Linked DNA regions of Schizosaccharomyces pombe. The protein of the gene in region 2 interacts with the protein of the main gene of each other region in a pairwise test. Each region holds a gene or a part of one and is shown on either strand. Other genes may lie near its edges. The genes, in order: rmn1, spg4, spo7 and SPOM_SPBC609.01.

Region 1 (6,010 bases), on a different chromosome or scaffold from region 2:
ATTATATTAACAGAGTTATTTTTAGCAGAGATTTTCTTCAACGAAGGCTGCCGCTGGGACATATGAAGGAGTAAAGAATGCCAACGGGAACTACACAGTAACGATGATTGCTGGCGATGGCATTGGTCCAGAAATTGCTCAGTCTGTAGAACGTATATTTAAGGCTGCAAAGGTTTGTCGAGTCATCCGTCATTTAGTCATTAACGACTTGTATTGTAGGTCCCTATCGAATGGGAACGTGTAAAAGTATATCCTATTTTGAAAAATGGTATGTCAAGTATAAGAGAAGATGGTTGGATTTGTATGCAGTTTGGCCTTTCTTTTATACGTTTTTGTCAGCAATGCTTGTTCCTGCTTGTCAAGTCCTTCCATGTCTCCTCGAGATTATCGCGCACGAAAATCACGTTTACTAATTCGTTTAGGTACTACTACTATTCCTGATGATGCTAAGGAATCTGTTAGGAAAAATAAAGTGGCTTTGAAAGGTCCATTGGCAACCCCAATTGGGAAGGGTCATGTTTCTATGAACCTTACTTTGCGTCGTACTTTCGGCTTGTTTGCCAATGTTCGTCCCTGTGTATCTATTACGGGATACAAAACACCTTATGATAACGTTAATACCGTTTTGATTCGTGAGAACACTGAGGGTGAATACTCAGGCATCGAGCATGAAGTTATACCAGGCGTTGTTCAATCGATTAAATTAATTACTCGCGCAGCATCTGAGCGTGTTATTCGTTATGCATTCCAATATGCTCGCCAAACTGGCAAGAACAACATCACCGTAGTCCACAAGGCTACCATTATGCGCATGGCTGACGGTTTATTTTTGGAATGCGCCAAGGAGCTTGCACCTGAATATCCTGATATCGAGCTTAGGGAGGAAATCTTGGATAACGCCTGCTTGAAGATTGTCACCGATCCTGTCCCTTATAACAACACAGTTATGGTTATGCCCAATTTATACGGTGATATTGTTTCTGATATGTGCGCTGGTTTAATTGGCGGTCTTGGTTTGACTCCTTCCGGAAACATTGGCAACCAAGCTTCCATCTTTGAAGCTGTTCATGGTACTGCCCCTGATATTGCTGGAAAAGGTTTAGCCAACCCTACTGCTTTACTGTTATCTTCTGTAATGATGTTGAAGCACATGAATTTAAATGATTATGCCAAACGCATCGAATCAGGTATGTGTTTTACTAAATTAAGATTTTGTCTGTTTACTAATTACCATTAGCTATCTTTGATACCCTTGCAAACAATCCCGATGCTCGCACCAAGGATTTGGGCGGCAAGTCAAACAATGTTCAATATACCGATGCCATTATTTCTAAACTGAAGTAACATGCCCATTTTGTTTACTTCTTGCTATGAACACTGAATTTATGTTTCTTTCCTTATCATGAGTTTTCTCTCCTAGCCGATTTTTGTTACCACTTTTAATGAATTGTGTAACGATTTGAGTTGTAATTCGGAAGCATTAACTCTTTTGTATCAAAAAACCGAATTGATCGAAATGTTAGTTACAAATATTTCAATATGAAATCTCCATTTTTGAAATGCTTATTGCACTCTATAAGATTAATCAATTAGTTGCTTATATTTTATGACAGCCGCATACAATGCAGCCCATTAATTCATTCTCTGAAAAACTTTTGTAAAAGTAAATAAACTAGCGCCATCTTCCTTCTTCTACCTCTATGTTCATGTTGTCGCTTGTATTAGATTCGCCAGTCTCCATGGATGTAGTATTAGTTGTAACAGCTGTTTTTGGCACCCACGCCAACTCCAATTCTTGAAGTTTTTCAACGTTCCGAACTCCACCAAAAAACTAAAATTTGTTAACTTGAAATTTTTTCTGTCAGAGAAAGAATCAGCTACATACCTTTTCAGCGGAATTTCTATTCTGAAAACTGATAAGACGTTCAGTAGTTGAAGGTTCAGTAATTTCCTCATATCCTCCAACAGTGAATAAGTATTGCAACAAAGCTTCATTTTTTTCAGGAGAAACATTTATTACACGAAGCTTAGTTGGACGATTATCGATGGACATTGACGCAAACATATCACCTCGTCCGCGACCTCTGCCACGGAAAAATGTGTTGGTACCTCGCTGGGGAAGTCCTGAAGCGTAAGGATGATGAGAACCATTAGATGCCGCTGGGCTTTCAGAAACGTTGCTCACAGGTAACCCTAAGCAATCAGCCTCAGCCTTCAAAAGAGAATGCTGAGTTTCTAACAACATGAGTCTTTTGTTTCCTGAACGGTCAGTTTCCTTAATTTTTTGCATCAGTAACTCTTGTTCTTTTAATTGTTGCTGTGCAAGCTCGCGCTTTTTTTGGTTAAGTTCTTCTAGTGCCTTTTTATTAGCATTTATGCGTTTTAAACGTTCTTCGTGCTGCCTTTGCCTTTCTTCAATCAGTTTATGAAACTCTTCGTTTTGTAACAAAGAAGCAGGATCGACATCTTCAGAACTCTCTACATTCGACGAATCGGAAGTAGTGGGAGATTTATGGGATGCAAACTTCTTTGGTCGATTGTGAAATCCCTTTGACGGATTATACCAAAATATTTTAATAAAGCGATTGTTAAATATGGGCTCAGGCGAGGACCAAGCATTGTTGGCAGCCTCATGGGAAGTGAATTCTAACACACAAGAATGATGTGTCGGATTTAATTCGACTTTCTCCAATACACCGAACTTTGAAAAAAAGGACCTAATGTTCTCCTCATTAAAATGCTCTTCCGGAATGTTTCGCACTTCTAAAGCAGTACTTGTTGGATCATTGCCAGCGTTACGAGAGAAGCGATGTCCCAGATGGGGTTGGGGATACGCTTTGTATGGATTAAATCTTCGATTACCAGGAGAATGCCTACGAAGTTCACTATTATGCTCATGGCGCATGCCAAATCCTCTTTTACCTCGCATCTTAAATGGGGGAGGGAAAGGAGGCTGCGCCGCAGGATTAAATGGTAAGAATGGTATGGGAGGCATTGCAGGATTTGGTAAGTTTCCAAACCCAGGAATACTGGGCATGAATTCAGAAGGTGCTGTGGCTGCTGGATGGTACAACGGAGGTCCAAACATATTAGGCACCTGAGAGGGAAAAGTGTTTGTTTTTCCTACAGCAGGTAAAGAATTATTAAAATTGGTTTCCATGCTGTTGGTGGCAGGGATCATTGATGAAGTTGGCGAATACCTTGAAACTTCTTCAGTCACCATACCGGTTGACGGCATATTTGAAGCACCCTCCAAGTAAGATTTTTCACGTAAAACATCAAAAATTTTATCAACAAAAGGAATTGTCTCCTGTCGCAAAAAATCTTCTAGTTGTGAGTAGCATAACTGGCGAACTTCTTCTTCAGAAGAATCGTGCCTTAACAATGCCATAGCATAATCTGATAAAACACTTGCATCAGCATCAGAACTAGTCATTTCGTTAGCATATTGATAAACAATTTTTTAGCGTGTAAAAAAAAAAATCACGCAAATTGGCAACTCAAAAAAAATTACATACATTGGCTCCAACGCCTGTTCTAAATATCTTTTCAAATACTAAAAGCGTTAATTCGGCATCTTAAAAATAAAATTACCTCAGCATGTTCTTCTAAGAACAACGGCATTGTGATGGAGCAAAGTGCTGGTTGTTGGAGCGTTACGCATGGTTGAGCCAGTAAGAAAATATAGATCACATAAGGTAAAATCTTTAACAATTAGCCAGAAAGTTCAAAAAGAATAAACATAATACCAAAATAATAACAAATGTCTTAGCTAGGGCAATTGGCTGGGATAAAATTTAACTGAGTAGTCGACATTAGATAAGGAATAGGAAGGTTTGCATAATATTACTCGTATTTAGACTACTAATATACAATGTATTTTAAGTCAAACTCTGACGATTATGAGAGTTTCGAAAGAGTTCACTTGTCTCCAATTATTTCATTGATTAAATTGTCAGCACAACAGTGAGTAAACGTGTTAGCTATATGCACTTTTTTATATTTTAGCACCACTTATAAATAGTTAATTTTAACGGTGGAGTGATTACATTTATATTAAATTATTTGAAAACCTAACTCGTCAAGAGAGCTAATGAACGTCCGGTATAGTCCGCATGAGTAAGTTGAAAATTAAAAAAAAAGGAAGTCTCTACATAAGAAGAGAAGAAGTTTTGCTTATGTACATGCGAAAACGCTTTTTACCCATTTTTTAAAAAAAAAGGTGATGTAGAAAGAAAAGAAAGATTATAAGTCGGGAATGAAAGATAATAGTTTAAGTTGACAGAACAAGATAAGGAAGTTAAGTGACAGCAACTTTCAATTAAGCCTTTATTTAAACCCTTCCAATTAAGATGAGGCAAGTAAATGATCAAGATGTGTAATGAATCATCAACATCCTTTTTTTAATTATCCAACGATAAATCCTATTTCAGTGGGTCTGTAAAGCAATCTCATATCCCAACATAAAAGGAAATGTCCTTAAAAGTATCCTAATAAATTCAAATCGGGTAAGTATGTAATAAAAGTATAACGACAATAACTGATCAATAATATAGCGAAAGGCGCCAGCAACAACGGATAGCAAAAAAAAAAATAGCTGAAAATTTTAATCAAAATTTACGTTATGAAAAATGACAAATACTAGAACAGTATAAACATGAAAAGCATTAACAACGTTGAAAAGGAAATAAACGATCGCATCCTTTATAAATAGGATAAGGGTATAAGTAAATCTAGTTCTGTTTAGAAGAAGGAGATTCAGAGGACTCGTTACTCTGTATGCTATTGTTTTTTCTATGTATTGAAGCAAAATATGAAGAACGAAAAGCTTCCCAACCTTCGATCACCAATATGTCAAATCGTTTGCTTGATAATATAAGATGGACACCACAATCCAAAGGCTTTCTCACCTGGAACCACGGGACAGGAGTTATAACAAGGCGAATGTTAAAAAACCTCATCGCTTTGTTGACTTGTTGAACATAACGTGATGGATATACTATTGTAGTCCGATACAATCCAGAAAAATAAAAGAGCAAAAGTGTAACAATTCCGCATAAAAGACAAAGTTTGTAAGTCAAATCAATCAACGAGTATTTTGAGATGCGATAAAAGACGCGATAGCCAAAGTAAAAGTTCCACACCAATAGTGAGACATAGAAAGCCATATACTTTTGACGACGAACTTGAAGCTGTAGGTATGTTTTCCGAAACGATGCCTCTAAAATTAACAAGTTGTGATATACGGACAGGGTGTTGGGCACATAAGAGGACATGGCATTTTATTCACTCTTAACAATACGTAGGAAAAAGAATAAAAAGATATAAAGAACTTGAAAAACAGAATATAAGAAAGCTTTTTGGAGATAACAATAATTGGACAATATCCAACACCAATTACAAGAAGTCGTTATGAAGACCACAGAATGAGATATGTGCGTAACATAAGAACTAATTCAATTAGTAATAGTACAAGCCGATGATTCTAAAACAATAAAAGAACAGCCCTTCTAATTTGCTGATTCAAGTATCAATCGGATGGCAGATTCTAAAAGTCAATGTCAAAGCTACGCGCCGATAGCTATAATATCAATAGTGTGCAGCTGTCTACTTCGATATGTGCTATAGTAAACGATAGTAAACGTTGGTATACTGTATAACGATGCAAAATATAGTGAGGGAGTGTTAACTGTGTTCATTATTTGGTAAACATCAAAGTCTTAAAAAGTTCCGACCAATGGATTAGAAAGCTTTTACTGACATCTTTTTACTAAATGACTGCTCAGATATCAATTCTGTATTTAAAAAATCTTATGTTTGGATAAAAATATATAGGCCAAGTTTTTACATTGTAGTTTTTTAGCCGATTTAGCAATTAAACTCCCCTAGTTTAAACACGTTGGCGAAAAGATCATATATAAATAAAGAAATAAAGAACTCAATCAGCAATCCTATACCGAGTAAAATAGTAGCAGAAATAAGTTACGCAGCTTAACGTGTTGCAAGCTGA
Region 2 (6,575 bases):
CTGCATGCTCTCGTATCCTTAATCTTAGCACACTACCTAACGGTGTGGAATACAATGGTCAAATGGTCAGCGTCGGCACCTTCCCCATCGGTATTGATCCCGAAAAGTTCTCTGATGCTCTGAAGTCTGACGTGGTAAAGGATCGCATTGCAAGCATCGAACGTAGACTACAAGGCGTTAAGGTGATTGTGGGTGTCGATCGTTTGGACTACATTAAGGGTGTTCCCCAAAAATTCCATGCCTTTGAAGTGTTCTTAGAACAATACCCTGAATGGGTTGGAAAGGTCGTGTTGGTTCAAGTTGCCGTTCCTTCTCGTCAAGATGTCGAAGAGTATCAGAATCTTAGAGCCGTTGTCAATGAGCTTGTTGGCCGTATTAACGGTCGTTTTGGTACTGTTGAATATACACCTATTCATTTCTTACATAAAAGTGTTCGCTTTGAAGAGCTGGTTGCTCTGTATAACGTTTCAGACGTTTGTTTAATTACCTCAACTCGTGATGGTATGAATCTTGTTTCATACGAGTACATTTGCACTCAACAAGAGAGACATGGTGCCCTAATTCTTAGTGAATTTGCCGGTGCTGCCCAGTCACTCAATGGTAGTATTGTAATTAATCCATGGAACACGGAGGAATTAGCAAACTCCATTCATGATGCCCTCACTATGCCGGAGAAACAACGTGAGGCTAATGAGAATAAATTATTCCGATATGTTAATAAGTATACCAGTCAATTCTGGGGTCAAAGCTTTGTCGGTGAGTTGCAACGCATTCAACACTACAGCCACCCTCACCCCAGAAGAACGAATCCGATTTTACGAACCAAGTCTGCTCAAGTGCTGTCGATGAATTCTAGCTCGTAAGAGTGCATTAGCAACACTATTGGTTTGTTTTCCCATTAATCAAGTTGTTGCACTTTTACACTTTTACTTCTATAATTTCATTCTCAAAGCAATTAAATCATTTGGTCATATATATTCGATGAGTTAGCAGTTTACGATACAAAGGATGTTGTTTATACTGGCACTTTTTTTATTGAGATGAATTCACAATACATGATATAATGCAACGTTCTTTAATGATTTTTTTATATGCAGAAATTCCAATCAGCTTATGGTGGTTTGAGTATTTGCTGATGATGGAAATTTGTTAGACAAGTATTCGACAATTTTTTTATGAAGTGTTGTTCTTTGTAATTTCCTTTGGTTTTATATTGAACATGATGGCAAAAAGAATAAATGTTTTGTTATTTAACCTTAAAAATCCTGTAACATTCAATTAATATTATTTTTATACATTTTTTTTGGGATACACGTGGAAGATTGTGACTAATATATCTTATAAGTAAGGATGAGAATATGCTGGACTGGTGAACGGAGTTGGACCAAGCAAATATTAAGATTAATAGTGAAATGGTTTTAAAGGTATTATTTATTGTAAGTAAACTAATTTTCAATTCTCATATAGCAAAAAGAGTTTTTTTGTGTAAATGATGAAGATGCGTCATTTACCCATCATTATTCTTCGCTACACCAAAACCAACCGTAAAGATTTAAAACTCAACAAGCACAGTGCGTATATCATAGAACTTCTATTCACGCATATAATTAGTGCTGTTGCTAGTTTTGTATTTATTTTTGTAGACTTTATCAAGTTTTCCGACAAAATCGTGGTTTTAGTGAGAAATTTTATCTTTAACTTTGTATCACTATATCTACGATTTGTATTTGCATGCCGCATTCTGCTTGTACGAAAACAATATTTAATAAGGTAATAGGATATAAAAGGAGAAGTGTAGTTTGTGCACTTCAGCCAATATAGAAAGAGAATAACGTTTCCAATCGAGCCGATTTAACCTCTTTCCATTGAAAGGTAATTGTTTTTAATCAGTTGTAGACGTTAAAGAATGCACAAAAATGAGCCTTGAAGACTGCTATAACGTCACACAGTCATATGCCGCCGTTGCAATTCATAAAGAGCAGACTGCTGACTATGTGGAGGCTATCGCTTTATTTCAAAAGGCCAAGCGGAACATTCTCATGAATCCAGAGTTTAAGTATGCGAGGGAACGCTTACACGTGATGGATTATGAAGATAGACATTATGTGGAAACATTACTCTGCATGTTGGAGCAGTTGACCATTCGAATTGAGTTCCTTACCAAAGAGATTGCGCAACAAGAAGCTGCTTATAAGGATATTCAAAATACACAAAAGTCACTTGTAACACAATCTTCTACTGGTAGCGCTAATGTTGCTTATATAAGTGGAAATGGTCCTGGCGATCGCTCATTTATCGATGATGGTAACTATAGTGCGTCTTCTTTTGAGCGTCAAAATAGAACAGCTCCTTTACAATCTAAAGTGACAACGGCATCCTTAAAACCTAATATTCCGCGAACATCTATGTCCTCTTCACCTACAGCTTCGCGGACTTCGTTGCGTAAAGGCGCTGGTGAACTAGAAACACATAGCGCTGTTAAATCTGCTAAAAAGGCCAGTGTCAAGAGTAAATCAGTGCTTCCTCCAAGTAAATCGCTTGCTAGGACTGGACTTCCAGCTGAAGTCTCTACCCAGAACAATGCCAATCGAGCAGCTCTATTGGCTTGGGGATCTTTGAATTCATCTAAGCCTAAGCATGCTCTCCCGCCATCATACATATCATCGGAAGCAGCGCAGGCATCTCGATCATCGTTTCAGGTTGAGCGTCATCGTCCAACTCCCGATAACTCCGCCGTTATTGAAGCTGCCCGCCGAACTTACTCTTCTATTTCCTCCTCTTCCTCACCCTTCAAAAAGAAAACGCAATCCCATCTCCCTAATCGTACCACTGAAGTACCTTCTATATCAAAACAGTTATCAAAGTCATCTACCTCAATCGCAACCGTCGCGCCATCTCTCGCTTCTGTTTCGTCAGTTACAAAATCGCCATCTCCCACTCCTCAGTCAGCTCCACGAGCTCAATCTGCTTCCACTGAAACTGCGCAAGATCTGGATTTCCTTACACCGCCACGTTTATCTGTGAACAACCCTTTTCTGAGTGATCTCTATCCAGCTTCCGAACAGGGGCTTTCTTCCTGTGAAGAGAAAGATTCGCCGGTTGATGGCGATGAATTTTTCAACCACACAAACGAAGAAGAGATTATTGAAAAGCAGTTTCAATCCACATCTATCTCTGCAATGACTTCTGAAAAGCAAGAACAAATTCTGCGTGAATGTCCAGACATCGACGAAGAGCTTGGTAAGAGTATACTTCGAGAAATCGTGGTTTCGGGTGATGAAGTTCATTGGGATGATATTTCTGGGTTAGAATTTGCTAAGCACTCTTTAAAAGAGGCAGTGGTGTATCCGTTCTTGCGTCCAGATTTGTTCCAAGGCTTGCGGGAACCAGCTAGGGGGATGCTTCTTTTTGGGCCTCCAGGAACTGGTAAGACAATGCTTGCGCGAGCTGTTGCTACTGAATCCCGTTCTGTCTTTTTTTCTATTTCAGCTTCTAGTTTAACATCCAAGTTTTTGGGTGAATCCGAAAAACTTGTTCGTGCTCTCTTCACTTTAGCAAAAAAGCTGTCTCCAAGCATCATTTTTGTTGACGAAATTGATTCACTGCTTTCTGCTAGAAGCAGTGATGGAAATGAGCATGAAACATCGAGAAGAATAAAAACAGAATTCTTAATTCAGTGGTCTTCGCTTGCAAGAGCAGCTGCATCTCGACAAACCGCCGATCACCCAAGAGTTCTAGTGCTTGCCGCTACCAATTTGCCTTGGTGTATCGACGATGCTGCTCGTAGACGATTTGTCCGTCGTACCTACATTCCCCTCCCTGATGAGACCACTCGTCGCTTACATTTAAATAACCTTTTAAAATATCAGAAGCATTCTCTTTCCTTAGAGGATATTGAGGCTATTGTGAAAGCAACCGAATATTACTCTGGCTCTGATTTGACAGCATTGGCAAAAGACGCAGCTATGGGGCCTTTGCGAAGTTTAGGTGAGTCTTTGCTATTCACGAAAATGGAGTCGATTAGGCCGATTAATTTAGATGACTTTAAAACTAGTATCAAGGTAATCCGGCCTAGTGTGAACTTGCAAGGGCTGGAACGATATTCAGAATGGGACAAAGAGTTCGGATCCCAAGGGCATTGAGTCTGTCTTCTTATTTAAAATTCCTAGCCTGATACCGATTTTTTTGGTAATCACGTTGAAAATTTATTTATTGTCTTTTAATACATGGCTTGTGCAAACTTATGATTATAACTAATAAGGACAACTTTTGCCTCAAGGAATTATTCATGATGATAATAATGGTGCTGTACCAAAAGCCTTTTTGTTTACTCCTAATATATTCGTTTGTCTCTTTTTTGTTGATACAATTTATGCACAGTCTTTGAATTTTTCAAACACTTAATATTAACTGAGGTTATCTCTAACCCTAGTTATTGTTTGAGTTTCCATTTTTATTACGACTCATTTACAAACAACTAAAACTCCTTACTATGATTAATTAGTCAGTACATGTCAATATTTATAATTTAAATGTTTACAGTTTTTTTATTCTATTGTTCTTTTAGCGAATCTAAGAGTTTACAGTATATCACTTACGAAATTATATTGCAGTTACACTATAGAAGTCAAGTTGTTGGGATGCTTTAATTATGTGAAGATGCACACTCAGCTTATGCTCTTGCGATGCCTAAACCTATAGAATGGGTATGATAACTATTGATTGATTTAGCTGATCAAATAGAATGAATTTGATTCAGGAATGGGTAGTAAGTTGGATGTGTCAAGTTCCTTGAATTCATCGTCTTCCAATATGGATCGTGACAGATCGGAGTCTCCGAAGCGACATGTCAACGGAAGCAATTCATTGAAACGTGGCTTGCATTTTGATGGAGAGCACACTGAAAGAGACCCTCACTTGGGAAATGGCCAAAAGTACACTCAACAAGAGCGTCGCGTGTATGTTGGTAATTTGTCATATCAAGTTCGTTGGTTTGAGTTGAAAGAGTTTATGGGACAAGTTGGCAATGTTCTTAATTGTGAGATTTTGAATCTTCCGAATGGATTATCGAAGGTAAGTTTGCTTCATAGAGGGTGGGTTTCATGCGACTAGTAAATCATTGTCTATTTAAATTGTAACGTTGAATCGATCCAATTGAACGTTACTTTTAAACGATTACTTATGGCCTATAGCTTATCCTAAAATTTGTCGTATACTCAGATTGTGAATAGTCTAGCTAATATATCAGGGATGCGCGATAATTGAGTACTCTACTGCTGAAGAAGCGCGCACGGCAATTAAAACTCTGAGCAACCAAAAATTTATGGGCCGTCTTGTTTATATCCGTGAAGTAAGATTTTTTTTATGTCGCTTATTAACCTTCGTAAAGGATCGAGAACAAAATGCAAGATTTGGCTCCTCTTCAGTATCGCCTAGCGCGTCGTCGAATGGCAAAGATTCTGAGCCAGACAGGCAATTGTTTGTTGGTAACGTAAGTTCAATTTCTAATCCTCTATATTCTTTTCCTCGAACTTTGGTATTTTAATGAATTGTGGAATTGCAAATAAGAAATGGTACTAACGAGTATAGTTACCGTATAACGTTCGCTGGCAAGATTTAAAGGATTTGTTTAGACAAGCTGGTTCTGTTATCCGAGCTGATATCCAAATGAACCAAGAAGGCCGATCCCGTGGCATTGGGATTGTTGTCATGAGTTCGATGAAAGAAGCCATGCATGCCATTCAAATGTTGCATAACACTGATTTCATGGGCCGCACTTTAGAAGTTCGCCTAGATCGGTTTGCACATCATAAAAGTAAGCCGTATTCCACTCATGGAAATGGCTATACGTTTCCAGCGGAAATGCAAATGACTACATCATCCACCTATCTACCCATGTTAGGTGCTAATACTCAAGTCGAGGATTTAGTTTATCATGCGTATCCCCATGGACCCTGCTCGGATTGCATTTACGTTGGAAATGTATGTATATAAGGACGCTTTTGTGGGATTAGTTTTCCGCATCATTTTAAGTTTTTTTTGGAGATTACTGACTGAATATAGTTACCTTGGGCCACCTCAGATCGCAATTTATTGGACCTATTCACAGATATTGGCTCAGTCATTCGTGCCCGAATCGCCTATGAGCCCACTGGCCGATCTAAAGGTTTCGGTGTCGTTCAATTTGAGAATGAAAATGATGCAGCATCCTCAATTGAAAAATTAAATGGTTATCGTTATGGCGGGAGACCCTTGCAATTATCATACGCTCACTATGCGACTCCACTACCTGCTGTCCCTACTGTGCTCTCGGGTCTTCCTTCAGTCGCTTATACACCACCTGTTATGCATATCCCTACAACGAATTCACCACTAACGCCCCAATCTTTTACAAATTCTTTCTTAGGCTATCTACCGATTTCAATGCCCGTTGCAAACATGCCCGCTATTGCTCCTATTTCTGTAGCTTTACCCGAAAATAATATTGAACATTCTTTGGAGCCTTCTTAAAAATTCGCCAATACATCTGAACTTCTTTTCTCTTTACAATTAAGCACATTTCCGTAGTGTGAATG
Region 3 (8,992 bases), 230 kb from region 2:
AGGATATTTTTCTAGAAAAATTATCAGTAAGATTATAAATAGAGTTACAACTTAACTGAGAAACGAGGTACAGTAATAAGCACTATTTAGTGACAGGTAACAGTTTGACCCATATATATAATACCTACATTGGTCAGCGCTTATTAACCTACTTATTATAATATAATAGGTCACAAGAATTATCACCGGGTTTTACGTATCGTTAAAAAAGACACTGAACTGCGTAAGTGTCACCTATTTTTTTTACCGTACGTTATGAACATAGCTTTTTAACTAAAATGTAAATAAATAATGATTAGATAAATTGCAACAGCATTTTAGAAGAGCTAATCATTAATATCAATCAAAAACATTTCTATTGTCTTAAATTAATTTTCTTTCTTTTTAAGAAGAAGATCCTTCAATAACAGTCGATGAGTTGATATATTGTTAAATTATTTAATTTCTTACATTCAGAAAAAGATTTTAGTAATTTATTGACAAAGAAAAAAACTAATGTAAAAAATTAAACAATTAGTTACTTATAGTCGTCTTTTTTTTTGAAAAAAATAATTAAAAAATCTCGTGAAAGAGTTTTTAAAGATTTATGCTAATTGTGAATTAAATTATGGGCAGTTCAGGTAATTCTTGCTTAAACTCAGCTACCCTTCTGTTAAAATGAACATCAGGAACTTTAAATAACCGCTATTTACATTATATACCTTTTTTAAGAGCGGCAGATCGAATAAGGTAATTAGGAATTTTCATAAATTAGTATTATAGAAAATATTTACATGTTGGTCGGGTAATTTTTGAGAAAACTCAAACAAGTGGGAGCGTAAATCTATTGATTAGCACACAAAGTCCAGATCCACACTTTTTAAACTATCAACAAAAAATGTATCCTGCGACAACTTTGTGTATAACTTGAGTCTAAAACAAATTTGGATAGCTCACAGATAACCTTTTGCTAGAAGACTTTAAATTTATTTAAATCCTTAAATTAAAACAAACTGGTAATAAATAAAACAGAAAAAAATTTATGTACATTCAACTTTCTATTCTTCGTCCTCTGAACCGATAGATTCGCTACCGTCCTCGCTGTCGCTGTTTTCGACATCCTCGTCGTTATCAGAGAATAAAGGTTCTTTAACATCAATATCATCCATATCATCAACATTTTCAAGAGATGATGCCTCATTCAAATATGAAACAGATGGATTTTTAGGGACTGGTGCAGCTTTTTCTTCAGCAAGACTGGAGTCCATTAGTCCATGCTTTGTCGCGTAATCATTTACTGCTCTAAAGACACTTTGATCAACCATATCGAATGAATATATTGTACCACCAGCTTCAAAATTAACTGTAAATGTTCGTTGCAAAACATTACTATAGGAAAAATGCTGGATGCTAGCTAGTTCAATGAAAAGTATAGGTTTACGGAAGCCCCATAGTATGCCAGTACGCAGAAAAAATAAATGCCCTATTTGATTAGCAATTTTGACACAGAATTCATCCTTTGCATACCATCTTTAGCTTTATAGTTTGCTTCAACCCCATATGTCGTGCCATTGTCCCCCGTTTGCGGGTTTGGACAAACAAATTCTTCGACAGAAGGAGACAAAGTACTAGTGCCAATAAACTCAAAGTAATCGCGAAAAATATCCCATGAGTTCGTGCAGTGGGTGAAGGATCGTAAACCTTCAACGAGGTTGAGCTTTTTCAAAGGATACGGTGCCGTAAAAAAGACAGGTTCTTTTACATTATCACTTGAAACAATATTTTCTGCCGACGATTCACTTTTAAGGATGATCACAAAGTTGTTTTGAACATTAGCTTTCCTTGGACATGGGACATGGATTGCACAACGAATTTCATTCCAGGGAAGCCAAAATTCAATTAAATTGGGTTCGCCTGGTAATGTTACTGCTATTCCATTTTCATAAATGTAGACGTCTAGCTTTTTTCGCATAGGTGCCTGAAACGATAGATTAAGTACTCCATAGACCAATTGACCTAACTCATGTTGAACACGATCCTTTCGTTTTAAACTTCCAGCCTCCTTCACTTGGCCTGATTCGTTTTCCTTTTGCAATGTATTGATGTACTTGCAAATTCGATGCACTAGAGGCTGTATACTTTTTGTTTTCCCTAATTTCATTAGACTAAGGAAAAAAGCATGTACTCAAACCTTACCATATTGTTTGATTATATCTTTTGCTAACTCAGAATCTTTGGCAAATGCCTTTTCTATTTCATCGTTCACGTTGGACTCCATTAGAGATGGCTGCCGGCTAGAATTTATTGAGTCTTAAACAAGGGCTTCGACAGCACACCACACCTCAGCTAACAGTAACAAATGTAATAGCAACTATTTCCATTATCATGCAAATGATTTCGATCCAATAAAAATTTTATCCCAAGTGGTTACGTTCAAACTTCGGTTCGCTGTTGACTTTATGTTAGCAACAAATTTTTATTTTATGGATCAATATGAATATGCTTAATTTATAATTGCTCAATTTTACTCAACAAAGGTAGTCATTTTACATAAATGAGATAAAAACTCATTCTATTATCGTATCAGTTACTTTCGTATGAAAAGTCCAAAAAAGTTGGGAACATTTTGTGAAACGATATCGATTTTCCCTTTGATTCTTTTTGCGATCTATAGATAAATTTCAGCTGTAGAACTGATTAGCTTTCTTCAGCATTGGGAAGGTCAGATTGTTGCTCCTATAATCGGATATGGTTTCCCTTAAAGTTGTTATTGTTTCGATTTTGTCAAAGAAATTATTAAATGATCCTAAAATTCGTTTTATTGGTTTATGTTGTTCCCGATGTAATCAACGTGTGTTGACATTTACAAACGTAAACAAATAGTTTGTTCGCTAGGTCTAATGCAATGAGGTGTTTTAAGACATAAGCTATTTGTTTTGCCTATTTTTCCTTTACCCTCAACCTCCCTCAAAACTGACGGTTTGTATAAATATTTAAGGAAACAATTTTGATAATTGTCCTTACAAAACTTACATAATTATCCTAATTGCTTTCGCGATCAACCGATTGAAAGAATTCCTATATTCATATTGTATTTTTTAAGCGTTCTTCCGACATAACTATTAATTTCTTTTAATCAATTGTATAATTATCCACGAAAAAGGTAGAATGGATTTTAGAATAACAGAAGGATCTTCCCCAACAAGCTTAAGTGTTTCGGAAAAAATTGCAAAGTTGGAATCGTGCAATGATAGTCGCATCACTTGTCGTCCTGTGAGAGAATCAAAGCCTACCTATACTTCCGGCCAAAAGCATTCAGCGTTGCTTTCGAAGTTGAAGCGGTCTAAAGTTACAACCGATTTTTGCAAACTTGAGGAATCAAAGGGAATAATTTGTCAAGAAAATTTGCATACGGAAGGCGCTAAAAGCAAAACGGAAAATATTTCTGGAGAAGACAAATCTTCTCAGAGAAGGACACGCTTGAAGCAGATTCAGGAATTTATAAGTCATCGTCGCTCTTTTCTCAATTCCAATGCCAATTCTGTGGAGTCTGAGAAAATCTTGGCTGAAAACAATCATATGTTTAACGTTAAAAGCAAGTTAAGCAACAAAGAATCGTTTATTAAAACCCGGCGTCCTCGAACAAATGGTGAACTTTCTGATTTAAGCCTTCAGCCTAAACGAATATTTAGTGAACCCGTAAACTCTCATCCTTCTCAATCCATGTTCGGCAACGGCGTACGAGCTTCCTCTGGTTCTTACTCATTAAAACGTGATTTGAAAGATTATGAAGAAGAACTTCCATCTTCTAAAAAGCGCCAAAGAACGCCGCCTCCGATAGTCGTTACCAATTTTCCTCAGGAAATATTTCCTTCAAAAAAAATTAGTTTATCTGCTAAGAGGAGGATTCAGGGGAAGTATTCCGGGGAAAATGTTAGAGCAAGGATCGAGCTAGCTAGGGAGAGAAATAGAAAAAGGGACTATGTTTCAAATTTATCTAAAGGGCATACTACAAATGCTTTAGAAGAGAATCCCTTTAATTTAGGTCCTAATTATCGGGCTTCCACCAGAAAATGTAACAGAATAAAGGAAGCTATAAACCTATTTGCTGCTAAAAATGGTTCAATGGAAGTACCACCAAAAGTGTCAGTCGGTGATTCAGTTCTGACAACTTCTCAGAAGTTTTTGCAAGTGATAAGGGAAAAGACTGCGCTACTAATGAACCAAGATTCTAATTCAGTACAACCACAAGCATTGGCTGCAGCAGAGTCTCCTACAACAAAGGCTCCTACAACAAAGGCACCGACATCTGAGGCTCCTCCCAAGGGTCATGTTAAACAACTAGCCAAACAACTAGGAAATATTTACATGCCACAATCGATAAACAATGTTGAACCGACATCCCATTCCAGCATATCTAAGGTAGTTAATCCATCAGAGAAAGTTATTTCAAAAATTGAGAGAGCGTGTCTAGCTGGAAATGGTAATGTACACCCGAGCATAAAAATGGAAAAAAATTTAGAGTTGAACCCTCATCCAAGAACTTTGAACGCTACTGAACACAAAATCAATAGTCGTATACAGGTATCGAAACTTAACACTAAAAATGAGCTTGCTAATGCTGATCCCAAAATGTATTTACTTGAAAATCTTTCTGACCGCCTATATTTTTGCAAATTAGCAAAACTTTTGCTCAGGAAATACCCTTTAGACATCGCGGAACACCAATTTGCGTTAGTTTATTCAAGATTCCAAAGAATACCACTAAAGCAGATTTCTTGCTTAAAACAATCGTTGGTTGCGTATTATTCAGTGCTTTCGGAGGTTGGTATTACAAACGAAATAATGTTGCGTGAAAATCGGTTTTCTTCACCCAAAACCCCCGAAGGTCTAGTTTCAATTTCAAAATTACTATTGGATGACCGAGAGCATCTTAGTCATGATGAACGTAGCTATATTCAACAATTGCAAAGTCAGATTAAGTCTCAGTCAGTTCACCATGAAAACGCAGCTGAAGAAATTCGCAAGATGCGCAATTTACGCAATTCACGCATAAATAGTCAGCAGGTTGGCGAAAAAGTTTTTGTGAATCCAGATGTCAAAACTATGGATATTCAGGAAACGTTCCTACAAGATTATGAAGATGAAACGTTTGCTAACGAAGGTCTGAGCGCTTCAAAGTTTAAAGAAGAGTTTTTGCTTATAAGTGATAGCAAGAGTGATCTCAATTCCGAAGAAATAGCAACTCCCAATTCTTTGGAATTTAAAAACAATCCAAGAATTAAAGTTCCACGATCACTTTTAACTATTTTGAATTTACACGACCGTTCTCAACTGAAATTGTTCGAGGTATGTCACAATTCAGAGTTTAAGGACCCCATTAATTTATCCAATTGCTTACGGAATTTGCTAGAGAAGCAGCTATTGTCGTACAATTTTACAGATTGGTTTGCTAGTTTGGGATCTGAATATGAAAATGTGTATGTAAAATTCATATCACACTATGACTTTTCAAGTTTAAATGTTTACGCTTCCTTTCAAAAATTATGCTGTGATCTTTACTATGGCTCGGATGATTACATACACTCTCCTATTTTGCAAGTCTTCGCATCTTGTTGGCTTAAGCAAAATAGTAATTATGGGTTTTTAAATGAAGACATTATTGTTAAAATAGTATTGATTTTAATTGATTTACATAAATCAACCTATTCTAAAAAGCTCAATTCTTATGTCGTTCCGATGGAAACTTTTGTGAAATATGCTCTCGAGAAACTTCGTCCTCTCATATCTCCAGATTCAGTTTGTATTTTGTCGAAGGAGGACAAAAAGCATTGGCTCAAATATAAGAAGAACCGATCAACGTTTGCCAAATTGCTTTTCTCAACGTGGAGCAATTTACCAAGCGATATCGGTTTCATACTTGAATGCATGCTAAAAGAATATTATGATACGTTTCTGAAGTCTCCATTTGCAGTACCAAATGCCGTGCAAGCACAGTTGCACAACCAAGTAAGAGGTGATTTGACTCCCAAAAGGAATCGATCATCTCTGATATCTGAATTAATGAAAAGTTCAAAATTACTAAAGCAGGAGAGTTCTGGAAACAAAAACAGCACGAGTCTTGAAAGTGATGCTTTTAAGGAATCTTCGTTTGTTTTGAATGAAGAGAATGGAGGAATTTACGCAGGAAAGGAGATTGATCTTCCTGAACCATCAGTTATAGATGGTAGACCACATTTTTCGGTGTTTAATTACACTCATCATATGCAAGAAGAAAAGACTCATAACAGGTTACCATGGCACCGACGAGGCATGATTTCATATAAGAAAATGGTTTTAAGCAAAAACAATAGATGGGTAGCAGGTTATTGGAAGAAAAAGTACTGTATTGTCGATAGTGGAAAACTAATCTTTTATAAGTCAGATCATTTAGATCCAAATGCTTGCTCAAATGTTAGCCCCATCCATAGAGAATTTGGCTTGCAATCTTGCTTGGCATCTCCCAATTTACCTCCATCAATTAATTCTAATCGCAATAATGTCTTTTATCTAAATATTCCAGGAAATGAGTGCTATCTTTTTGAAGCGCCCAGCGTATTAGCGATGAACGAATGGATTCATTCTTTAAATTTTAATGCAGCCATGATTACTTGCCCTCCTCTACCAGAAAATATTACAAACACTGAATATGGTTGGGGGTACATTTTAACAAGAGCTGAGAAAAAGGCTTATTATACTGCTGCTGATGGAACCAAGACCTTTGTCGGTGACCTGGCTCAATTAACACGGTGGAGTCCAATGGACATTCAAGGATTACAAGACATTCCTCGTCCACTGCGTGATAAGGTTCATATTTTACGAGATTGTGTTCCTTCTTTACTGGAAACCTGCCTTCTTTTCCAGTCTTTGCCTGAAAAAATGGAGAAATGTTTTGCCGCCGGATCTAAAAATTACCTCAAAGCAATGGATAATTGGAATAGAAAGATGAAGTTTCTATATGAACGATCAATGATGTACAAAGAGTACCAGCGAGTTTTGGAATGCGAGTACGAATATCGGAAATCCCATGATTTCTACCCAACTTTATCTCCTGTAAGATATCCTTATGATTTTAAAGGATTATAAAATTAAATTTCATTCAAAGTAGTTAAACGAATAAATAAACTTGAGTGATGAAAAGACATTAGGCCTCCGATTGAGAGAATGCTACTTAGATATCTTTTTTTTAGCTTCTGAAGAAGAGGGTTAATAGTTGTCGAGAGTTCCAAATAAAGTATTTTGATTTTATTTAGATTTGACAAATCTTTTGTCATTTTATTATTTTTTTATGCTTAAACTTCTGATAACATCCAGTTATAGAATATTTCATTATTGCAATATATGCTTCGATGGGATTATTTCAAATGCCTTAATACGCGCTCGTTGAAACTGAATAACTACGTTGGTTACCGCTCATTTTAGCTTTAAACTTACAATAGTAACTTTACTTAGATACTTAATCAAACAGCTTGCGAGAACTTGGATACATGCTATAGCTACCAGAATGCTAAAGTCCAAGTTTCACCTATTTTGAAATAAAACAATATGAGTAGAGGTGTATGCAATTAATAAGGAATAAAGCAATTATAGAAACAGAAAGAAATTGCAGTACTTTTATATTTCACCTTCGTTGATTTATAATACTGTTTTAAGCATTAATTTCTGATTAATTTTTTCTCGCTTAGATAAAACTCTACATAATCCTTCTTTGCAAAGTCACGTCGCAATGGAGGGCGCTAACGGTTAACATAACCTGAGCACATATCGCGTCTTTTGTGCAGGCGTTTAACAATTGCCCGATATTTAAAGAATCACTATTGATAAAACGTACTCATAATTATTCTTCTACCTTTAAATTATTATTGACTTTGTATGATTCAACGAATTATAGTAGAGTTACTTTCCACCTACGTCGCATCAAGGGTATAAAACGACTTCATCTTAATAGATATACGTACTAATCAATTTTAGATTGCTAGAAGTTCTACATTCCAACGCCTGGTGAAAAGCGGAATTCGCAGAGTTGGACAAGAAATCCCAAATTATGAAGCTAAAGCTCCGCTGGAAAGGTCATCAACGATTTTTAACAAGGCAAAACTCTTTGGTAGGCTTTATTTGGAGTCCTCTAAAGAATACTTTTTCAAAAAGAAATAGTATTTTAAACAATCAAGTTTGTTTTGAAGCTATTAAATACATCCAAAGGCATTATTTCAGCAGTCAATCGCACCATGTAACCTATCTTCACCAGTCGCCGCTTGAGAAATTGGTGAGTAATGGCGTGGTAAACGAGAACGGAGATTTGACCATGGATTCTCTTTCTCATCAAATATACCTATTACACAAAAATCGCCCCACCTTACCATTAAAACCAACTAACCAGCCTACGAGATTTGCATCTGTTTTGATGCCTCTAGTAAACACTTCTCAAGGAGCTTCTTTACTACTCACGCAACGTTCTCCAAACTTGCGTTCTCATGCTGGACAAATGTGCTTTCCTGGTGGCCGTGTGGAACCTTCAGACGGTTCTCATTATTATGCGGCATTAAGAGAAACTTACGAGGAAATTGGATTCCTCCCTAATTTTTTTACTTACTTGACTACTTTCCCTCCATTATTCACCAGAGATGAAAAGACTGAGATTCGGGCTTACCTTGCGTTTTCGGTGCAAACCTCCCTTCCTTCACTTGGGACAGGTGAAGTGAAAGATTTATTTTACGTTCCTCTCACCTCTTTTTTAAATCCCAAGCACCAAAAGATATCTCGATTTCGTAATACGGATTTGCTTTATGTCGAATTTAACATTGATAAGATTCCAAGAATTTGGGGAATAACAGCGGTTATATTAAATATGTATCTTAATTCTATTTGCCCGGATGCTCTTATCTCAATCCCAAAGTTTTGATTTTACGCTTTAATACCATTACTACATAGACTTAATTAATATTTATTTTTTCTTCTGTTATTAATAGTAATG
Region 4 (9,450 bases), on a different chromosome or scaffold from region 2:
GTAAGTAACCTTTTGAGTGCATTTAATTTAATTTTTTTTTTTTTAATTTTGTGAATGAATACTAACAGGTTTTAGCTCGGTACTTTGAAGCGTGCCAAGGGTAAAATCGAAGAGCTCACTAGTGTCATCCAGAGCTCCAGATTGGCCCATTAAACTTGTCTTCCATATAATAAAATTACTTTAGCAAATATCAACTTGTTATGATGCGTAGTTGTGTACGAGAGGTAAATGGTAACTCTCAATAGTTATCAAAAAGAATAATTATCGTGCTTTTATTGGCTTAAGGCATATTCTTACAAAGGATTTGAGAATTGGTACAATCACACCAGTTTTTTTTTTTTTTTTGCTTTTCATATTAACTAAATGGGAGTGTAGAAGAACCTACAATACTAGAAGGTTTACCGATTTTGGAGAATACATAAAATGCATGAATGACTGTTGCAAACTTTTGTTTGTGTAAAGACTGAGTGAATGTCTTTGCAATTAGATTTGGCGATAGGAGGTTACTATTTACCATGTAGTAAATTATACTTGTAAACTTAGATTACGTGCATTTAAGAATAATTTAAAAAAATAAACGAAATACAAGGAACTCCCGCAAATTCCTGTAATGCTATGATTCCTTTTTTAAAACGTAATTTAACAAAATATGCGGTTTTAAACATACTGTTTACTTTTGACTCAATAGGTGACTTATGAGTTGCGACGGGAAGAAGTGCCAAAACCCCTAAGATCAACAGAGGAATTACCGATGGGCAAAGTGAATTTTAAGAGAAAGTTAAAAGTGCAAATGATTAATGCTTTCCTATTCCGAAGAAAGTATTTCCTTATAGTTCCTTTTTCCACTTGAATTATTAAGACCTCAAAGTTGAGATTTATTTACCTTTGTAAAAAGCTCTTTCAACAATGTCTTATTGTTTATTAATTCATTACTCATTCAAATCAGAACGCCTTACAAAGTCCTACATATCTTTACCGATATGTTACAAATTCGTTATTAAAGTTTACAGGAACGGAACGATTTCTTTACAAAACTGATTCAGTGACTCTGTCTCTCCCGTTATACTAGCCTTACGATTCAAGTCCATTTCATTATCCAATGTTGCCAGCGACCATGGATCCATTAATGGCTGATTTTAAGATGAGTTCATGGACAGCTTCGGGTTGGCCACAATTAGGCAACCAGTAAATCACCTTACTTGTCTTCCTCCATGTAACTCGTAGATCTTACACATTGGAGTAGCACGCTACTTGAATTGTTATGAATGATCAAGTTGCTAGAAAAAACAGGAAATCGTTTTTGTAGACAAGTCGATGACAATGGAAAAGAAAACAGAGTTGGGAAAGAAATAAAGGAAGTAAACAAAAAAGCGATATACTGGTTTTCGCATTTCCAGCATATATTGGAGCCGATCACATTATCCCATACATAGCTAAATACAGATAATCAAGATATGGAGTGGATATAAACTGATTGCTTTTACTTTCAGCTGATGTTTTGAATTCTTTTCATGTTACTTTTGATTACTACTTGAATTCAAGTGGAAGTGGTTTTCAAAAAAAGTTGCATCTGCGCTATACACTTACTTTAGTACATACACTAACCACTTGCTGCTCTTTAGGAAAAGACCGTGGCCACCACACATTCACTAAGTGGGGGATAAAAGCTGCAACCGTCTATAGTTAAAGGAAGGGACAACGACCGCCACATAACTACCTGATGGGGGCAACTAACAAAGACGGGTTTTCTTCCTTCATTGCCATCCCATCTCGCTTGTTATCTAACCTTGTTTCATAATTTCTTGCAGCCAATCATTGTCATGGCGAGAACCCTTAAGACGCAACACCAACCAACCAGCTTTGACGTCACTTGATATCGCTAACCCGTTTGCGACATTTAACGAGAGCACTGATGGCAACCTTCGTTAGAAGGGAAACTACAGTCAAATGGTAATGCGAAGAAAGGGATTTCCAGTATTTTTCTTTCATGGAAAAAAGAGTGTTGATATATTTGGATGATCGGTTAATTTCATACTACGCTTTTTCCTTCTTTGCGCCGTTTCTGCCACTTCTACTCAAGCTCTTCACCTGTTTTCCCTCTTGTTAGCTCAATGCCCTTCGACATTTTTTCAAATGTCTCTTACTGCCTTGCTGCGTTGCTCTGTTCAGTGTAGTCGTTATCGCTCGAGTTCAGTACGCTCAAAACTGAACCCATTGTGTTTTCATAATTTGCCTCGCTTTTTCGCTCTATCAAATTACCTATAATGCGAAAATTACTGTCTACGTAATATCTACGGTTTCGCTATTGGATTTCGGATGGCGGCGGCCAAAGTAGTGAGCGTTGCCTTATTTCATTATGGGATTCATCATCCTTAAGTATTAGTGTGTGTGATCCATTAGCGTCCATCCCACTACTGTTAAGCAAACATCGTTACATCGTGTAACTAATCTTGCTTTCGGAACTTGATTCAACTCACATTCTCATCTTTCATACATACGTATCTTTTCCACCTTGCGCATTTTCGGTTAGGCTGGCAAATTCCCCCAATCATAAAAAAATCGGCGACGCTCTTAGTTTGCTCGATTCTTGGAAAATCCTCAACAGGCGCCTGAATTTTTAAGTCGCTATACGTTAAACTTGAGCCCCTTTTTTATTTCCTTGCTACCGTCATTCTCGTCGTCTCGGAAAAACAGCTTAAACCTTGTTGCTGGTAAAGCAGGTTTGTAAAGATTTTTCCTCTTGTTTTCATTTCTTCTTTTGTCTTATCGCCCTTGGTTCGTTGCCTCTACAACACCTACCTAACACTTGCGACCACCTCATTTTACTCTTTTTTAAGCACCTGTCTCATCAATTGACAGTGCCAATTGGTTGAAAATCGCTACAACCGTCATTCGATTCCGTTCCATTCTTGTACATAAAGATAATCCAAAACTTGGTGGATGTTGGCTTTAGCGCTATTGTAAAAAAAAAATTGCTTTAAAAGTCAATCAAGTTTTCCTTCGTTGTTTGTTTTAGTAAATTTTTGTCTTCTTCTTCTTCTTCTTTTTGGCCTGGTTGGGTTTGGCTTGGTAAATTCATTATTTCTTCAAGTTTCATTGACACCGTTTCATTTTGTCATATACGATAATTAACGAAAGCTCTCCATACACTCCATTCAACGAGCATTGTATTTTACTCCATCATCTGTTACCGCATTTGCTTGCTTCTCTTCACTGCATATCAATTGGATCATTCCTGCTTACGATCCACCATATCCATTGCTTTTTCTCCTTTTTTTGTTATTTCTTACATTTTTGTGTTTTCATACTCTACATTACTAACTTCCTCTGTCATCGTCATAATTACCACCTGTCATCGTCTTTGCTCTTTACATACTCTAAACCACCTTTCTCATCTGGATACGTTGAAACACCGTCATCTTGTATGAGGAAAAAGCAGTACTATATTGGTTTCGTTTGTTGCTACAATCTTTGGGTTTTCGCTCTGCCAATCTCTCCTACAGGAATTGTCCTTGTACTCCCCAGTGAATAGGCGCACATTCAAAAGCATCAGCGTATCGAGATACTTTTTCACAATCTCATACTCTCTCTCCTTCTTTCTTCTCCATTTTTTTGTTTCTTTGCATTACTGCGTCCCCACAATAATTGACGAGGACTACTGTAACCTTCGTTCAAACCGTTTCCTCTGATCGTTTTTGTTTTGGTTTTCCTTGAAATACTTGCAAATCGAATAGATTTACTTTTTTGTCTGGTCTCTGTTTCACTCTCTACATATTAAATTTCCGTAAACATCTTTCTTCGTTTAAGACAGTGTCTTTCAAAAAAAAATCAACAATAACGATACGGTCAACTCATTTCAACTAATAAAAAATAATGGATCCTCATTGGAAAAGACACGATTCTTCAAACATTCCTACACAGCCTTCACCTTCCGCCTCTCCCAAATCAAATAAACCTTCCTCTGCTCAGAGGTTTGGTAATCTTCCTTGGGTTGGTAAGTTTTGTCAAGTTCGATGAAGTATCCTGCAACTATGAAATAAGTTTTTCTTTGAATTTTGAATTTTTTTTTTTCATCTTGCTAGATTCTTCAGCTTTTTTCTTCTACCAGAGTATTTATCACTAACTCAGTTATTTAGCTCCAGACGTAATCCAATCTCAAATCGAGTATTTACAGGCACTGCAAATGCAGCAATCTCTCTCTGAATCTGAGAATTACTTACAGCCAAACTTTTTCCCTTTCCAATCCGGTCCGTTCTCAAAATCTCGAAGGGAGAACACATTGTTGCCCAGATTAAACCCGCTTGCACCTATTGGAGCAAGACAGCCTAATCCTTCAATTCCACAGCAATTTTCCAAGCCTATCAATGAATCTGGTACTGGTACAATGGGTCCTGCAGTAGGAGAGCTCACCAGCCCTGTGATGAAGAATCGAGCGGAATCGATATTCAGTCCGGTAACTGAGTCTTTTGAAGCATTTACTCAAGGGATGCAGACAACTCCACAACGAGCTGGAGCAGGTGTTTCGACTGCTACATCGCATACAAGACGTCGTTCTTCTGCTGGTACAGATCCTTTTTCTCCGGTTTCGCCTTCAAATCCAAATTTCCTGACGCCTTTGAAACCTATAGATGGAAATCAGGAATGGCAGCAATCACCTTTAGAGTCTCCCTTGTCTATGCATTCTTTGCAGGAAAGCTTACACAGCGTTGAACCTGAATCTCCGATTTTTCAACAGGCTCCGCAAATCCCTTTGTCAAATGCTTCTCAACAATCCTACATCAATCATTCATCTGATGGAGCTTCTCTTCCTCAAAGCTCCTTTTTAAATTTTAACAGTAGCGGAAAACGGGTCTCCGTTTCTGCTGCTGCCCAACAGCACAAAAATCTTTTTCTTCCTTATCTTCCCCAAGCGTCCCTTCCGAAGTTCATTGGTACTGGTAAGTTGCTTGTTGGGACCCTTCACATAAATCGTAAAAATCGTTCTGATGCATACGTTATTACGGACGTGCTTGACGAGCCTATTTTTATTTGCGGATCCAAGGACAGAAATAGGACTTTGGAAGGGGATTTGGTAGCCGTCGAACTTTTGGATGTTAATGAAATTATGCAAACGAAGAGAGAGAAAGAGGAGAAGAAGATTCGCCGTAACCTATCCCTCTCTGGTTCTTCTAAGTATTCAGTCAACAGTAAAGCAAAAATGATGTCTATCAGTACACCCATGGCTTTAGGAATGAATAGGGGTGTTCTTTCGTTTGAAAGGTCTATTGAGAAACGGAAGAACGATTACGAGGTAACCGGCCAGAGTCTTTCGTTTGTCGACGATGTTTCACTTACTCCCGATTCTGCTCCAAAATACGCAGGTCATGTCGTTGCTGTACTCAACAGACCTAGCGGTGAAACTTGCTCAGGCACTTTAGCGTTGTATAGACCCAATAGCCTTGCTTTGAAGAATCAGTCCTCTCATCGAAGAAATTCATCCACATCCAGTGGTGAAACGGGAAAAGGCCCTAAAATTGTTTGGTTCAAACCAAGTGACAAGCGTATTCCTCTTATTGCTATATCTAGTGACCAAGTACCCCCTACCTTTTTTACAAATAACGACGATTTTAAGGATAAGGTATTTTTGGCTGGCATCAAGAGATGGCCTACTACGTCCTTGCATCCTTTTGGAACGCTATATGAAAGTATTGGAACAATTGGGGACCCCAAGGTGGAGTACAAAGCAATTCTTCACGATTTCAGTTGCCACACATATGACTTCCCTGAATCCCTTTCTCATTGTGTTAAAAGATTACCTACGCCTATCCCTGCAGAAGAGCTACAAAAGCGATACAATTTACGAGATAAGTTAACCTTCATGATTGGAACGCGTGATTATGCTCTCCATATTGATACAGGCTCCATCGACGGAGTCATCACACTTGGAATACACGTTGCAGACGTCGCGTATTACGTTAAGCAAGATATGCCTCTTGATGATGAAGCTGCCAATAGAGTATCAGAAGTACAATTGTTGCAAGGTTCCGTACCCTTTTTACCGAAAAAGGTCTCAGAAGAGATTTCCCTTATAGAGGGACATGATTGTTTAACAATTAGTATAGTTGTACAGCTTGATTTGAAAAGCGGCGCTGTTTTACAGTGTTCCCTTGGGCCCTCTGTAATCCACCCGTCAAGTTTTATTAGTTTAGAAAGTGCACAAGCAAACTTGCAAACCAACGAAGCGCTTCAGCTAGTTGATGCATCGGCCCATGTCCTTACCAAACTAAGATTGAAAACAGATAAGAAACTTGACTTACAATCCTTATACTGCTTTGAATTTTGCGATGGGCAGATTCCTAATATACAGAATATTAACATGAGTATTTTTGAGGCATTCCCTATTGCATGTTCTTTACAACAAATTGAACATTGGGTAAACGAGAAAGTTGCATCTCATTTAATGTCTGTTTTTCCCAGTAAAGTGATTTTGCGAAAAAATCAAAGACCTTCTGACTTTGCATCTCTTGTTGCAGTTTCTGAGTTAACCGGAGTGAATTTATCTGCTTCATCTACTCCTTCGGAAATCATGACCGAAATTGCAACTACCAAGGATAAGAGAACCAAAATGTTACTACAATTGACTCTAAGAAGAATGTGTAATGAATCTGAATACACTATCGGTACTTCAAATGCTAAGGATGTTTCGCATTTTGTGTTCTCTTGTCCTTACTACACCCATTTTTGTCACCCTACTCGTAGATATATCGATATATGTGTACAGAGACAATTACGCGAAGCCTTTGATGGCAGACCAGACTTTTCCAAAGACTACAGAAGTTTACTTTCTATAACTCAGTCTTGTAACACACTGAGCAACTTCTACCGTAATGCCCAGGAAAAAAGTCTACATGCATATTTATGTCAACTTCTCCATTCTATTAATTTACGATCTGGGCTCGTTAAGCATAAGGCTTTTGTTTTGGCTGTTGACCAGGAGTATATTGACATAGTCATATACGAATTTGGCTTGGAAAGAAGGATCTCCTTGGATCTGCTACCGCTTAGTAACTGCGACTTTAATGAGCAAAAACACGAACTCTATTTATCATGGAGGACAAATGCTTCTTTCTTTTATGCTTCATCTTCTTTGGAAATTGATACACCTTGTTTCAATGACTTTAAGAAAAAATTTTTGGATTCCAACGGGATGTGCAAACAAATATGCGATATGATGGATGCACAGGTTCGGGATTTAGCTAACGCTGCTGAGTCCCAGGAGTCTTTCTATTCAAAGGCTCGAGGCAATGACAGTACTAGTAAAACAGCTAAAAGTTCCTCTGGCAATCAGGATATTTCCGGAGATGGAAAACTTCATAGTTTACGTATGAAAGAGCCTGAGGTTGTTCAAACCATCCGTCCAGGCCAAGAGGTTAGTGTACTTATATTTGCTGATACTTCCGCTACTTACTCACTCTCGTTAATTACTTTACAAAGTCCTCTATCCAGTTAATCTTCAATAACTGGTGATCTTCGCTAATGTGTATGCCTCACGATTTATTTTTAATGTATGATTAATTGCATATGTCTAACGTTATATACTTCTACCACTTATTTCTTTTTACCTAAACGTTTTGGATTTATTTTAGAGGATTCGAATAATCGCATGGGTTTGTTTGTTTTTTGGTGGACTTAAATGTTTTTAAGGATTTTTATCAAAATATTTTAATGCTTATTTACGGTTCATGTCTTACGATTGTATTTCTTATTGGCTTTTTTTATTCATTTTTCTCATTTTTTTTTTTTTATTTCTTTATTATTTTTTTTTACTAGTAATACTTTTGCATCGTTTAAAGGGAAAAGTTATGCCCTTATGTTTTTTTCAATAAAATGGATTATCAAATCATTGCTATCAAAATATATAAATAATTAAAAGTAAATTAGTTATTTATTCACGTCACTATGGTTGATACCTACCCGCTTAAAGTTCATTACTAAAATCTTTATTGTATTTCTCTTATTTTCTTCTGAACAGTGCAGCTTACCTCATATTTCAACAGTCAACGGCATCTGCAGTATTATCCTAGTATATTACAAATAACTAATTAAACATGTAATTTTCCATGAATATACTTCGATCAGTAGTTTCGAGGGGTCGAAAAGGCCTCAAACAAGAAAAAGTGAATCGTAGCTTTGCTTACTTAGATATGGTTTATATTACTTCCAAGGTAATTGCTATGTCTACACCGGCTGCTGGAATACATAAGTTATATCGAAACGACGAATTGGATGTATTTAAATATCTTACAACGCAATTGAAAGACAACTGGATATTGTTGAATTTATGTGCCGAAGAAACAGTTTACCATTTGGAATTATTTAAACCAAATGTCATAAATTATGGATTTCAAGATCATAATCCACCTCCGCTTCTCTTTTTATGGGCTATTGTTATGAATATGGATGCACTCTTTCAAACGCAACCTTTGTTGACATTGGTAGTTCATTGTAAGGCCGGAAAAGGACGTACAGGAACTGTAATATGTAGCTACTTGGTAGCTTTCGGAGGCTTGACAGCCAAGCAAAGTCTTGAACTATATACTGAAAAAAGAATGGTTCGAGGGCACGGTCTTACCATTTCATCGCAAATACGTTACGTCTATTATATCGAAATTTTAAAACAGTTCCCGAATTATTTGAAAGCTGTGGAATTTAATACTGGTACCACTTTTTTTAAAAGTTTTAAATGTTTGAATATTAAAAAAAATTCATCTTTGATTCTATCATTGCATGCCTTCTCTAAGGGACGAAACATAAATCCAGTTGCTCTGTGGAAGAGTTCAGATATATCATCCCATAATGTAAGCATAAAAGAAGGAAAACGTATATGGGGGATACAATGCAACCTAGAAACATCGGAGAAAGACCTTTTGCTCAGAGTCGAACGCAAGGGCCAGTTTTACTTTCCTTCGAGTGTGCAATGTTGGTTTCATACTCACTTTCAACCTATGCTTGTGGAATACACAAACGGGATAAATTTTCAACAAGGTATAAATTCCTTTCTGCAAGGACAACAGTCAATTTCGTTCTCCTGGTCTGAAATGGATAATAGCCGACGAAGTGACCCCTTTTTCGAACAACTGACAATTGTATATGAAAATGTTTTTTGATATTTTGTAAATATTATATTAGTGTAAAATAAAATGATTATTTGTGCAATTAGATCCTCCTTTCGATCATCGAAATAAACTCACATGTTGAAGTGTTTCTACTTCAGTAAATTACAGAGGCGCTTCAAGTTTTTTTTTTAAATTTTAAAAAAAACATAGGAGTTTGAGTTTAAGGCTTATACTCTAAGATTCGAGTTTGCAGTTACGATTTATGGTATTAACTCATCGTGGCTACATTACCGACATCCACTTGAATTGAGCTTGTCTTCCACCAACGCTTGTTAATCGCTGAATTGACTCTCAT

What was found.
Region 1: the proteins of spg4 (region 2) and rmn1 interact in a two-hybrid assay, tested with the Schizosaccharomyces pombe proteins (one large-scale study listed by BioGRID).
Region 3: the proteins of spg4 (region 2) and spo7 interact in a two-hybrid assay, tested with the Schizosaccharomyces pombe proteins (one large-scale study listed by BioGRID).
Region 4: the proteins of spg4 (region 2) and SPOM_SPBC609.01 interact in a two-hybrid assay, tested with the Schizosaccharomyces pombe proteins (one large-scale study listed by BioGRID).

The regions. Positions count from the first base shown.
Region 1 is NC_003423.3:487,496-493,505, reverse strand, and holds rmn1 (MTREC (exosome adaptor) complex RNA-binding subunit Rmn1), read right to left. Parts: upstream 3,651-6,010; 5' UTR 3,625-3,650; coding exon 3,595-3,624; exon of another isoform or gene 3,557-3,594; coding exon 3,519-3,556; exon of another isoform or gene 3,429-3,518; coding exon 1,886-3,428; intron 1,832-1,885; coding exon 1,673-1,831; 3' UTR 1,345-1,672; downstream 1-1,344. Other genes in the region: idh2 (isocitrate dehydrogenase (NAD+) subunit 2), read left to right, coding at 26-172, 220-268, 423-1,187, 1,238-1,344; protein phosphatase regulator Nem2, read right to left, coding at 4,734-5,276.
Region 2 is NC_003424.3:3,479,993-3,486,567, forward strand, and holds spg4 (AAA domain-containing protein), read left to right. Parts: upstream 1-1,564; 5' UTR 1,565-1,916; coding exon 1,917-4,142; 3' UTR 4,143-4,613; downstream 4,614-6,575. Other genes in the region: tps1 (alpha,alpha-trehalose-phosphate synthase (UDP-forming)), read left to right, coding at 1-863; hrb1 (RNA-binding and mRNA export factor), read left to right, coding at 4,686-4,706, 4,744-5,073, 5,249-5,350, 5,390-5,491, 5,590-5,982, 6,064-6,510.
Region 3 is NC_003424.3:3,245,451-3,254,442, forward strand, and holds spo7 (ArfGEF Spo7), read left to right. Parts: upstream 1-2,308; 5' UTR 2,309-3,147; coding exon 3,148-7,104; 3' UTR 7,105-7,431; downstream 7,432-8,992. Other genes in the region: histone H3.3 H4 heterotetramer chaperone Rtt106, read right to left, coding at 1,038-1,462, 1,507-2,130, 2,176-2,257; pcd1 (coenzyme A diphosphatase), read left to right, coding at 8,063-8,920. UniProt on the Schizosaccharomyces pombe protein: Appears to have a role in sporulation.
Region 4 is NC_003423.3:3,153,724-3,163,173, forward strand, and holds SPOM_SPBC609.01 (Dis3-like exonuclease family protein), read left to right. Parts: upstream 1-2,405; 5' UTR 2,406-3,873; coding exon 3,874-3,994; exon of another isoform or gene 3,995-4,136; coding exon 4,137-7,489; 3' UTR 7,490-7,893; downstream 7,894-9,450. Other genes in the region: rpl3602 (60S ribosomal protein L36), read left to right, coding at 76-153; phosphatidylinositol-3,4,5-trisphosphate3-phosphatase Ptn1, read left to right, coding at 8,100-9,146; iqw1 (WD repeat-containing protein), read left to right, coding at 9,449-9,450.